2 linked regions of the Styela clava genome follow. Each later gene encodes a partner of the first gene's protein in a complex. Links are inferred from orthologs where the notes say so. Each region holds a gene or a part of one and is shown in the gene's direction. Other genes may lie near its edges. The genes, in order: surfeit locus protein 1-like and small integral membrane protein 20-like.

What was found.
Region 2: surfeit locus protein 1-like (region 1) and small integral membrane protein 20-like share a complex: the UniProt entries of both Homo sapiens proteins name them as parts of the MITRAC (mitochondrial translation regulation assembly intermediate of cytochrome c oxidase complex) complex. The link is inferred for Styela clava from reciprocal best matches to the Homo sapiens genes SURF1 and SMIM20.

Annotation. Positions count from the first base shown.
Region 1 is NC_135261.1:13,757,656-13,763,955, reverse strand, and holds surfeit locus protein 1-like, read left to right. Parts: upstream 1-4,462; 5' UTR 4,463-4,517; coding exon 4,518-5,369; 3' UTR 5,370-5,743; downstream 5,744-6,300. Other genes in the region: trafficking protein particle complex subunit 9-like, read left to right, coding at 1-2,289; 5-hydroxymethyl-dUMP N-hydrolase-like, read right to left, coding at 6,050-6,300. UniProt on the Homo sapiens protein: Component of the MITRAC (mitochondrial translation regulation assembly intermediate of cytochrome c oxidase complex) complex, that regulates cytochrome c oxidase assembly.
Region 2 is NC_135263.1:1,580,835-1,587,352, reverse strand, and holds small integral membrane protein 20-like, read left to right. Parts: upstream 1-4,089; 5' UTR 4,090-4,160; coding exon 4,161-4,326; intron 4,327-4,885; coding exon 4,886-5,007; 3' UTR 5,008-5,774; downstream 5,775-6,518. Other genes in the region: small ribosomal subunit protein uS3-like, read right to left, coding at 1,190-1,283, 2,477-2,607, 3,204-3,233.

The DNA of each region.
Region 1 (6,300 bases):
GCACCTGATGTTAAAAAGCTTTGTATTTCGTCAATGAAAGATTTAGTGGATCGATACAGAGAAGCTATTATTCATTATAGCAGATATAAAAACTTGGCTGTTATTGAAATGGAAGCTTGTATCAAAGCAACAAAAGTATTTGCTGAGGCTAAAAGCTTTTTAGAAGCTTCAGAATTCATTCAAAATGCTGTTTACATCACACTCAATGTTTCAGATACCGAAAGATTACAACGATACAGTGTGATGGCTGATTTATATAAAAGTATAGGATTTTACAGAAAATCTGCATTTTACAAACGAGTGGCTGCGATGCAATGTGTAGCACATCATATCAAAGAACCTGATTGGAAACTTTGCAACAGACTTTTATTGAACACAATATCATGTCCGACTAAACACTCTATCATCTCCCCATACCTTAAAAACAGACATGGATGGCCAAGTATTAGTCTTAGAATATTACATGAACTTGTATATTCTTTGGAAAAAATTAATAATCATAGTCTTGCACTTCGTTATTTGCTTTATTTGATTTTGAATATGTTTCCTTATTTGTCTGAAACTGATGAAAAGGCAACTTGCTCTGCATTGGAAAATTATGTCAAGAAAAATATTAGTGTACTCGATAGCACATCACCTGAACTCAACTTCTATGTTTTACCAGTCATAACTAAGATTTCTCCTTTATTTGAAGATGATGGAATGAGACCAACAAAGTCTAAAACTGAATCTGATGCTCAAAGTGTTTTTATTTACACACCAACGATTAGACAGTCACAAACACACGAGCTTAAAAAAATTTGTTTTAGATGGTGTGTAAACACAATGTTCGAGATTATAGTACATGTATTTAATCCACTTTCTCATTGCAGTATCAAGATATCAGAATTTTCGCTGATTCTTGATTCAAACAGTTCAGCTATAGATTGTCAACCACAGACTTTTAACATTGCGCCGCAATCATCCTTTGAAGTCGGGATTAAAGTAACTCCAGTAGAATTAGGTACAGTCACTATTATTGGATATGCATTTTCAATGTATGGAGTTTATGCAAAATGTTACTTCAACAAAAATGATAACATTGAAACAACTGAAGTACAGATTCAAGTTATTGGTGACTTGCCGTTACTAAAGTGCATCAAGGATGACAAATGTAAAGAAGAGGAAGGGAAGCCTTTAATTGTATATTATTTTGGTGAAAAGACAAACTTACCATTCCATCTTACCAACATTGGAAAACAACCAATTTGTGATTGGAATATTTTAATTAAAACTAAACACAACATGCAAGACATATTAATAAATGTTGATGACAATATTAAGCAAGTATCACTCCCTCCTGGGAAAACTGTTCAGATTCCTGTGCACATTGAACCAAAAACTACTGTTTTGGAAATTGAGAAGTGTCAAGAATTTTTGTGTGTGGCTACGATAAAGTATGCAGGAAATTTGGGTAAAGATATATGGTGGCGATGTACAGAAATTGAAATGGTTATAAAAACTGATGTCAGTATTGTAGTTGAAGCTATTGAAGTAAAGAGCCTAGAGTCAAAATCTTGTGATTATTGTCTTGTGTGCTTGCATCTAAAAAATACATTGCAATATGATGCAGAGATTCATTTCAAATCTTTTGATGGTGAAGGTGGTTGCAATGACAATATGATACCAATTGAGTGTGATGAGGGAAAAGTTTGTCAAGTTCAAATGCAAAAAATGGATCTACCATCAAGTGGCATTATTGATGAACTATGTATTCTTCACATTAAAAAAATGCTGGATTTGTCTTGGAAAGTAAAACACGATGGCAATGAATTTGAACATGGAGGAAACATCCATCTTCCCAGTTTACTTTCATATGAAAGCTCTTGTAAAATGATAAACTGTCCAATTGAATGCTCCCTTTTATATGGCAACGATTCAATAACAAGTTCCCTCAGTGCTTTTATTACCACAAACAGTGTAAACTATGTAACTTTTGAATTCCATAACAAATCAAACATTTGTCAGACCTTGGAGGTGTCGTTGGATGTTTTTCAAGATCAACGAAATGGATATGTTGAGCGGAATCTTGAAGACTGTGTCATGTTCGTTGGATGTACCCGAGCCACTATTCAAGTAAAAAAGTCGGAAACTGTATACTTTGAATGTGGTGTACTGTTCATCAGGAGTGGTTCTTTTGATTTTAGAGCCGCTATTTCATTACAATTATGTGACAAAGTCGGTTATAAAGATCATACACAAAAATCACTAAAATGTGTTTCTCCAGTTCTTACTTTTGTTGTGCAATAATCGTTATTATTATTATTAAATTATACAAGTTTCAATGATTTAAAACTTGCAATTCATTATATCTGGCTGTTAGGTTCCATGGTTGGGTGATGTTGCGGCGTTATTTTCCAGCCATTTTCACAATTAAGTAATTCGTACTATTTCAACTTAAACCCGGAATGCATTCCGCAGTCGCCTTCGTTTAAAGACTCAATAATTATAAAACGAAAAGACTTTTTGGGTGGGAATTCAAATGATTTTTTTTCATTATAAAAAAAGATTTGCTATCTGTCTTGACGCATCGTGCCATGCGTTGGAAATGCGCTCGCCACTGAACCACTGATTACCCCGCTTGGGTTCGAAATACCGTAGGGACAATTGTGTGCGAGAGGATTGATGGACTCTTCACCGCCATGGAGTGTTTCACGTAACTGCTTCTCGGTTACGTCTTCCCCCGCCACCAAAACCCGTCCAAAACAAATAACTGACCAACTAGTCAGACACCCGACCTGTTAACCGGACGAGAGGCCGTGGTTCGTCATATGATTAATCCGTCTTGTCGGGTTTCCTTGTAAACCCTAACTTTGTATTAGAAATCATCTCTTCAATCAATTTTATTTGGTCACTCTGATACAAACAAAACAACAACAAAGGGACAAACAAAATACATAGGACCTGGATCTCTTCTAGGAATAAGTTTGAAAATTCATAAAAATGACTTTATTTTTCGTCCCAAATATGGTTATCGTTCAAGATGGTACCTATAAAATTAAATACGATTGAATAAATGGATTTCTCTACATTTGAAAATCCACACTACTGGTAATTTTCTGTGACAGATTGCATACCCGTACCATTTCGTGTCCAAATATTTGAGCATCAATATCTTTGTTCGAATTGGAGGTTTGTTTATATATACACACTTTTTAAACACATACCTTCTCAATAAAATACTGTTATCAAAAGTTTTGCTAACGAATATTCCATATTAAAGAGAGAGAGAGAGTGATATTTTCTTTTTACACCAACCAAAAGGCAGTCATCTTAAGAATAATAGCAATTGATAAATGTGTGGGGTATAGATAGGAGAGAGTATTACGATTATATGGTTTTCAAAAAATTTAAAAAGCCACTGTCAAATCGTAAAGTCAAATGAATACTTTCAATCGGGTAAATGACAATTGTGTAATTTTGGGGGGCTCCCAAGTGTCTTTCGAGATGTGTTGGTTTGTCCCTCAGATTTCATATCAAATATTATGTAAACTCCAATATACAAAACTTTTTGAATCAAATTTCTCTATAATTCCGGTACGACACATCATGTTCAAACGTCGGTCATGTCTCAGTGATATCCATTAGTGATTGAGTGGGTAGGAAGTTTTTTCTGGAACATTGCCAAATGATGGTATGGGTGTTTCCCCAAATATCCTTGTTTTTCCCGTAACAATGACCAATCAGTCAAAAGTCGAAGATGACGTAACAATTGCAATTTTTGCAGTTACTTAGACACTTTGTTCTCTCAGACCATGAATATATACAGATATTCGAGCATGGTTGTAAGCATTGCATCGTTTCTGCGGTTTTGCGTATTTTCAGTCGTTTCCGAAAATTATTTGTAAATGAAGTAATCATATTCATCAAAAACAAACTACCAAACTAACAGTACTGTATATTTCAATAGTAATGATGGGTTTGAGCATGTAAACAAGTTTGTAAGTGCCAACTCTCCAAAACACTCGCGAAATAAGCATCCAAAATTTATAATATTTTTCCTGGGGTCAAGGGTCGGGGATGGCAAAGCACTGACCAACGGGTCATACAAATATAATAAAACTGGCTCTAGCTGCTGCTGTGTTACAGCAAGCTAACAATTGATCTGTCTATTTCTCGTATCGTAACTGATAGCTAGCTGGATCTGAAACATGTTAATAAGGTGCTGGGGTGTGCACGGGATAACATATGCAGGCTCATATACCGGTACTGGTATCGTTAGTGGTACTTTTACTAACATGGCTTGCTTTTTGCATTGAAATATGTGTGTTTATCTGTGACTTGATTCATTCCTTCAGTCCGTGGTGAATCACAAAAATACCTGTTGCAGTATTGCCTTTCCTCCCACTCCACTTGGATCGATTTAAGGTTATTGGGATTGAGAACCATAAATGTCTTCAAACATGTGTTTGTCGTAGATGTTTTAAGACAAGTTGATGGTCCGAGTACTTTTATACCTTATTCATTTTTAGATAAAGATGATGTCTTCTAGGCCCATATTTTGCAACAGATCACGGAAATGGTGCCATTGTTTCAAGCGAAATGAATCTGCATCAATATCAAAAAGACCAGTAATAAAACGACGTGAGTACAAAAACGACCAAAATGGAAGTACCGCAAAACCAGGGAAATGGATTTTATTTGGAATACCTGTTGCTACATTTTGCCTTGGTACATGGCAAGTTCGAAGACGAACATGGAAAAATGATTTAATAGAATCACTCAATAAAAAGACTACAGCAGAACCCCAACCTCTCCCACAGAATTTAGAAAGCATAAATTCAAAAGACTTTGAGTACTCAAAATTTTATGTGAATGGTGTACTTGATCATTCAAAAGAAATGCATGTAATGCCAAGAACTTTTGCCAAGCTTAAAGAACAAAGCGGTGGCTCACTTTTATCAACAGGTAGTCGAGTGGGGTTACATGTCATAACTCCATTTTATATCCCAGAACGAGATTACAGTATCCTAATAAATCGTGGTTTTGTCGATAGCGATTATAGAAATCCAGGAACCAGAAAACGGGGACAAATTGATGGCGAGGTGAACATCACCGGCCTATTGAGACTTACAGAAAGAACAAAAATTAAAGGTACAAATATGATAGAACTAAATCAATGGTCACATGTTGATGTTGAAAAAATGGCCGAGTTATCTGGAACAAAGCCTATTTTACTTGATGCTGTGGCAGAATCTTCTTCACCTGGGGGACCTATTGGCGGTCAAACACGTATTCGTATATGGAATCAGCATGCTTCGTATATTATTACATGGTACAGTCTTTCTGCTATAACTGCCCTTATGTGGTGGTCTAGATACATACGGTGAGGTATTCTAGTGATGTTCAGTAAATAGAAACGTATTAGAGTAAACAATTGAAGCTAAAATTTATAAAGATTTGTGAAATGTTCTGATTGCTAATCCTGTGTTATGTCAAAAGACTTGCAAATTTCAGAATAACCAATTCTGATAGAGCTTAAATTCATTTAGACTGCATTTTCTACATCCAATGCGGTGAGGTCTAATTTTCGAATTGATGAAACAAATGATAATTATAACGAAACACTGTTTTTTGTTGAGATACTGTTTGTTACTTCCACCTAATTTACTGCGAGATCACATGGTAACCCTTTTATTTAATTACTTTTTATCTTCATTATGAGAGAAACTAGATTAAATACAAACTTTAAAATAACTTTTTATGAATAAGGCCTATGTTCAGATGCTCGACCTAGTACCCAAATGCTAATCCATTCATCATCGTAAAATTGATAATGTATAATTGCATATTTATTACACTAAATCATATTGAATTATTTAGTTTTGTTGAGGATTTCTTAATCCTAGAGTAATTAGTTTTCATATGCATAATGCCGAAATGTTTCAAACACACTCGTGCAGCTTGAGTAAGGTGAAACAAATTAAAGTGGTTGTAAGCTGCATCATTCTCGATGAAGATGACCAAATTTGCATTAATACTCAAACTTGATCATGATATGCTTAATAAGTTACACTGCTGCATTTTTATTTTGAGATTTTTCTAGAAACCCACTAACATATTCAAGAGCGTCTGATATGGCAATATAACGCTTCACACTAATATTATTATTTGAAGACTGAGCTCCATCAATCATTGCAGACAGGCGACGACCAGCGTCATCTCTAAATAGACATAAAATGTTTTTTCCCATGTCTAGAGCTCTTCCTATTTCGTATCCCACTCCGAGTGAGGGTGTTGTAACCTCAGCAACAACAACAT
Region 2 (6,518 bases), on another chromosome or scaffold:
GCTAAGAATTCTCAAAGATGGGTTTTGAAAGTTCTAATTGTGAAGTTAGACCGTAACAACGTGGAATTTTAAAAATCTTGCCATTTAGATACAAAAATGTTTTTTTTCAAATTAAAAAAAAAGGAGCAATCTTAGAAAGTAGAATCAGTTTTTAGGCAAGCTTTGCTATGAAACTATTGTGTATTCACTGTAACAAAGGCATCAGCTTGTGAAGAGACTGTTTATCATCAAATCACTTATGACGGGGGTATCCTGATCATCATTTGCCTTTAATACAACAAAATTTACTATTCAAATACAGGGGTTCTTAAACTATTGGTGTTACAAAAGCAAAGCAGGAAAACAATGAGCCTTGCGTCAAAACTAAATTCGCCCCCAATCCCAACAATGCTATTTGAGCTATATTTAGCTAAAACCTCAAAATACGATTTTAGTTTTTTTGTGGCAGCAACGGGCGACCCAAATTGAATCACCCAACAAGCTGGATTCAGCCCGCCGCCAAAACCTTGCCCGACCCCTGGTTAAGGGGTCTTACTACTTACTGAATACAGCGCGAAACACCGCAAAGAGCGCAAAACAGAAGGAAACCAGCGCAAAACAGGAGACGCAGTCATTACCACCTCCTGCCACGAAAGAACCACGGCGCCTCTCGCCATGGTTTTATGGCGCTATTTCCGGTATATTTACAAGGTTATGTACCGGTTTATAGGCCATCATGCGAAATTTTATCTACCTTTTTGGTGCTCCAGAAGTATGTGCAGCAATATGTCGCACAACCTGAATCCGCTACACACACACATACTATTTTCAGGTTGTGCGCCATCTTGGTGCACATACTTCTGGAGGTCCCTTTTCACCTAACCCTAAAGCCAACCATATCCACATGGAAAATGTTCTAAATTATGGTACCCAAAATGTGTCACCAGCAGGGGCAGACCTGCCATTACAGCATAACTGGCTACATACGTTGGTTTGTGTTTTTAATTTGCTGCCGTGGTAATCCAACTCAAAACAAAGTGCCCCGAACTCATTGCAAAATTTTTTTCTGCTTCACACTGTTTCCCTGTTTTGCGCTCTTTCCCTCTGTTTCGCGCTCTTTGCGGTGTTTCGCGCTGTATTCAGTAAGTAGTAAGACCGCTGGTTAAGAGCCTTGTCCAGAGTAAAAAAAAACAATGAAGTAAACTTATACCTCTACAGTTCCGTCAGGAAAGTTGAATCTTTTCTGAACCATGGCTGTGAGCTCACGGATTCTGCGACCCTTCTCGCCAAGAACATTCTGTGTTCTGAAATATTAGAAATTGTGATTTTTGGCAGTTGTTCAAAAGGGAATGTGGCATTTTGCTAAAAAACATTCAGAAGTAGACCAATCTATGAGCAAAGTTAAAATACCACGAGCCACTAAAACTATATCAAATTAGGTTTAATGCCAGTTTACCATTTATTTGATAAATATGCTAATTTGGACATCAATAGTGGTTAGAGCAAGCATATTTTTGCCTACACCATCCAATGTAATTATTCAAGAATCGTTTCACGTTGGAATCATTGTATGGGACACTCTAAACAACCCAGATTTTGGGCATTATAGATTTTAACATAAATTACAGTATACACCAACAGCTCAGGTAGAGTAACATGATTTTAATCATTCAAGAAGTATTTCGGTGTCCTAAGTTTAGTCATCATTGCTGTGGTGCATACTGAAGACCGAGGTCTGCAAGAAACCTTTAATACACTCGGGCCAGATACAAATAACTAAGTGAAATCGTGGGGCACACCTTCATTTAACATCAGCTTTTTAAATAGTTTAAAGCACAAAAATTTTGGTTGTTCAATTTCAATAATTTTACACATGATTATTAAGGCTATTCTGTTAGTTTTGCACTAAGAATCTAGATTTTCACGCGATGTCAGTAGGTTCGAACGCAGGCTCGGGACGATAAGCGTGCCGTAGTCACTGATTGCACACTGGAACTACTGGATTTGCATGCCAGATTTCTGGTAGATAATGGACATGAAATCCAGTGTTCTGGTGAAGTAAACGACTTACTTGCTTAAATAACGCCTAACAAAATTGTGATGTGAAAAGAACGCTGTAAATGCTCAAATAACACCCAACAAAAATGTGATGTGGAATTTTAATGTGAAAAGATCGAAATTACACCCGTACGGTTTTAAAACGTCGCCGTCGGAAAGGTGGACGACCTATCTGTCCTCTTGTGAGTCGAGTTGTCTGCCTCCAGTTTGTCCCATGCGCGCAACCGTATTGCGCTCGGGCAAGACTGACTTTTATTTTAAGAAGAAAAAATGAAAATTTGGGATGTATTTTCACATTACATTTTTGTTTAGCGTTATTTAAGCAATTACGGCGTTTGCTTCACGAGACTCAAATCTCTACAGGAACTACACGAGATCCAAGGAAAAAACATCTAAGAAATAAAAAGTCAGCTTGAAGCTTCGGAAAACAATGCATCACCTTGTGGCCATGATGATGATCTCAGTACGAGATGGAGTGACACGAACTTCGACCCCACTGTAACCATCCTCTGCCAACTCTTTCCATAACAATTGATTCAATTCAGCCTTGAATAGGCCATCGCGAACGAACTTAAAAAAATGAGGTTGATATTATTTAGTTTAGTCAAAGTAAGCAGGATTTAATCACGGTCAGTTTAAGATTAAATATTATAATTTTAACTGGATCCCAAATTTATTTGCTAGATGAAACTAGAGAAAATGAGTTTCCCTGTTGAGTCAAGCTTTCTGTTCAGAGCTGTTTTAGACGGTATTTGTTTAGCTTAGCTACGTTTTCATTCAATACCTCATGCGAAATTTCAAGAGACTTATGAATTTAACCCAATTTTTTTTTTTAAAACAAGTATCAACCAGAAGTGCAAAATTCTTATTGGTAGTGTGGCTCAGCTAGAGTAACTTAATTCTAATCATTCAAGAAGTATTTCGGTGTCCTAAGTTTAGTCATCATTGCCACACTGCAGATGAATCCATTACATTGATAGCTATAAGCGTGCGCGCGAAAGCAAGCGAGGATGAAGTATCTCATTTTTATCCAAATACATCGAGATAACTGAATCACTACAAATCGTAAATTTACAAAATATGTATCAACTAGGTAATAAGGTATACAAAATTATAAAAATACGAAGCAAATAGTTGAATAAATTCCTAAAAACTAACCAAAATACCTTGCGCTTCTTAGAGACTTGTGTAGCCATCGTCGCAAGTTCGGAAAAGGACGGAAGAGCGAACCACTGGAGGACGCGTCTGAGTTTCCATAAAAATTCTCACGTTTTGGGTCATTGGTTTGAAGAAAATTTAGAAAGAGAGGAAGAGAAAGAAATTTAATAAAATTCATCATTCTATATTGTACATTTTGTTATTATTAATAAATATGTGAGCTATTGCAGAATTCTGTAATACTGAGGGACAACAATTCTCATAATGTTAATTTGTTATATTACCAAGCAAATATTGAATTTCTTTCTAATTTTTCAAACTTGAACTCATTTTATTCTTTTTTTATAATTATGTTTAATAGGTTTATATTTGATATTTAGTACTGTAGCAAAATAACTGGTTGCATAAAGCATTTACAAGCAAATCAAAGTCATTGATGACGTTTCATCGCTCCCTCGAGTCCGTAACAAAAATATTCTCTATTTATTGTATGTCTTTTATTTATTTGTATTTGGTTGACAAATCAACGAATCTATCTTTCTTTCTACATACTGAACATATAAAAACAATTATTTATATTTTATTTTATCTATCTTATGTCGAAAAATACGCTAATAGTGGTATGGTAAGTACACAGATTGGAACGGTATGTTAGTCGTTGGATTGGAACAATAAACTGACGGATACAAAAAATATAAAAGCATAAAATGAAGTAAAAAAAGGAGCGGTTCATAAACAAAGCTGTTTAATATACATTACTTTTTTTAATTTATATTGAAATATCAATTTGAAAATATCTGTATTCCGATATTTTCAAATTAAATTTTTCTCATGATCGCGAAAGATGTACAGTTAGAATTATGTAGCTGTTCATTGAACCCTATCGCCAGAGGACAAAAGTTCATTTGTTGCAAAATTTTCAGTTGAGTTAGCGAAGAACTTCGGAGTTTTCTGGCTTCCGAGCGATGGTTTTCGTCAGGAATTTCTTACTTCAACAACTAAAAGAAAGACCAAATTTGAAGAACGTGAAAAATCCGAGGAATTATCGGTTAATCGCCGCGTTTGTAGTATTTCTTGGAGCAGCTTTTGGACCGATCTACATTTACCCGCTGTATAATTCGAAAGCTTATCGTAAGTTGAGTTTTGCCAGTACTGTTAGGCTATGTCTTTTATTTCGACTAGATTTATTGACTCATGCCTGCTTGTTTTTTAATTAAGGCTTGCATATGCCGATATGGCATAGTTTTTGAAGCTAAAATTTGGTTTCCAAGATGTCCTGAAGTTTGGTTAAATATAGCAAGGTCGTCTGGCACGATGGCAGGAGGATGATGCTGTGCTTTTCATAACTTAATCAATTGCAGCTTGAATCTGTCGTCATGTGACCAAGGATACGTGTTTTTGCTAAAAACTGTCGAATCCTTGGTGAAATTATTTTCTTTCGGCGATTCTGATTAAATATTTTCGAGGAATCCAATGGTGACGTTTTTTTTCGGTATGGAGGCCCAGACTGTCTCGTAAAGGAGGGTTTTGCTATTTTTGGGGGGGCTATTTTTGGAATCGGAGAACTGTGCCGTACTGTATGGTCGCAACGCTCCCCTCCGTCTATACCGAATAACTTTATGTATTATTTATTGTTGTAATGCTTGTTTTCTGGTTGACCAAACAATAAATCTCTCTATCTCTGTTTTAGAGGAAATCCAAGAAAAAGGGAGAGCAGGAATCAGCCAAGAAGATATCCAGCCTGGTGGTATGAGAGTTTGGTCAGACCCATTTGCACCATTGCCAGATAAAGACCAGAAGAAAGGAGAGTAAATAAGAGGAGTGCCAGCACAGGAGCCTAAAGTCTAAATCAAGAAATAACTGTTGCAATATACAAAATTATATTGCAAAGTAGTCATAATAACCTTTTTAATAGTCACTTCCCTTATTCAAAGCTGTATATTACAGCTACCACTGTATTTATAATATTTCTATTTTGAACTTTCAAGTTTTTCATAAACCTTCAATTTCTAGTGATTGCAGCGTCATCAAATTCCTATATAATTTATAATTCCTGTTTATCCTGTGACCACTCGTAACATTATTGTTCTTTGGAAAGAGCTCAATAATCTTTAAGTTGTTACATTTAGCCTTTCTTTAAAGAAATTCTCATAAAATAAAAACAAAGTAGCATCTAAAATGGTGCCAAGTTTGAAACAGTCAGCCACCCAAGATGGGTCGCCAATTAAAGCTGCGTTCCCTGAAATTGTTTCATTTGTGTTTATATTCATATTTTTAGTGTTTTCTTTGGTAACTGAAAACCCTATTTTTTCTCTTGTGGAGAGCCCTCTTATAGTGATCAATATTTTTATGGTCTTAAATAGTTTATTACAAATCACCCTCTTTTTGGTGGTTTACCCCACTTTAAACCCCCAAATTGGGATGCGTGATTACCCCATGTCGAAGAAAAAAAACAGCTTCCAGCAAATTTTAAAATTTATTGTAAAATCGGCTATTTTGTTTGCTGGTTTTTGGGCAGTTGCTCATTTTTTTGCTGTAATTTTTGGGGCCCCTCTGTTGGAAAATGCTGAAAAAACTTCGATATGGGCAGGGTTAGTTTCATCCCTAATCGTGGTGCCCGGGGTTTGCATACTCGGCCCAAAGCCCCGGAAATGGATTGCCCTTTTCAATTTAATGAATTTTGATTCTTCACAAAAGCGGACCCTATTTTACTGCACAATATGTACCATCATCGGCAGTTGGTCATCAGCTATAGTAATCCCACTTGACTGGGACAGACCCTGGCAATTGTGGCCGACCCCTGGGGTTGTTGGGGCAATGCTGGGGTACTGTGTGGGGTTACTAATCGGTGGGGCTAAAATTGTGAAAGATATTAAGTTCTCAAAAGTCCATTGAATTTGTAATATTTTTGTAATTTAAGATTTTTTGCATTTTATTGCTTTCTGCTGTCTCGGTTTTGATATTTATTAGGCGTAAAACTGTAGATCGTGGTAAAATTATACCAGACTCATAACTGGCTGGAGAATATTTTTTAACTCCGCAGACCGCAGCCCTAGTGTAGTGATGGATAATTCTTCTTATGTTGTGTTTGATGTGCATGCATGCTAGAGCGGATAAAACCAAATATAGTAGTAGTCTTACAATAGTTCGTTTTTGCATCATTGCAGGGGTTTCTTTGCCTGACCATCATATGCTGAACAATATTTTCAAAATCAAAAGTTTACTATACGGAATCTAACCATTTTAGAGTGTATATGAATATTGGTCTATTTATAATCAATTTGAAATATAAATATTTTGGGCATCCCCAATTTTCAATTGTC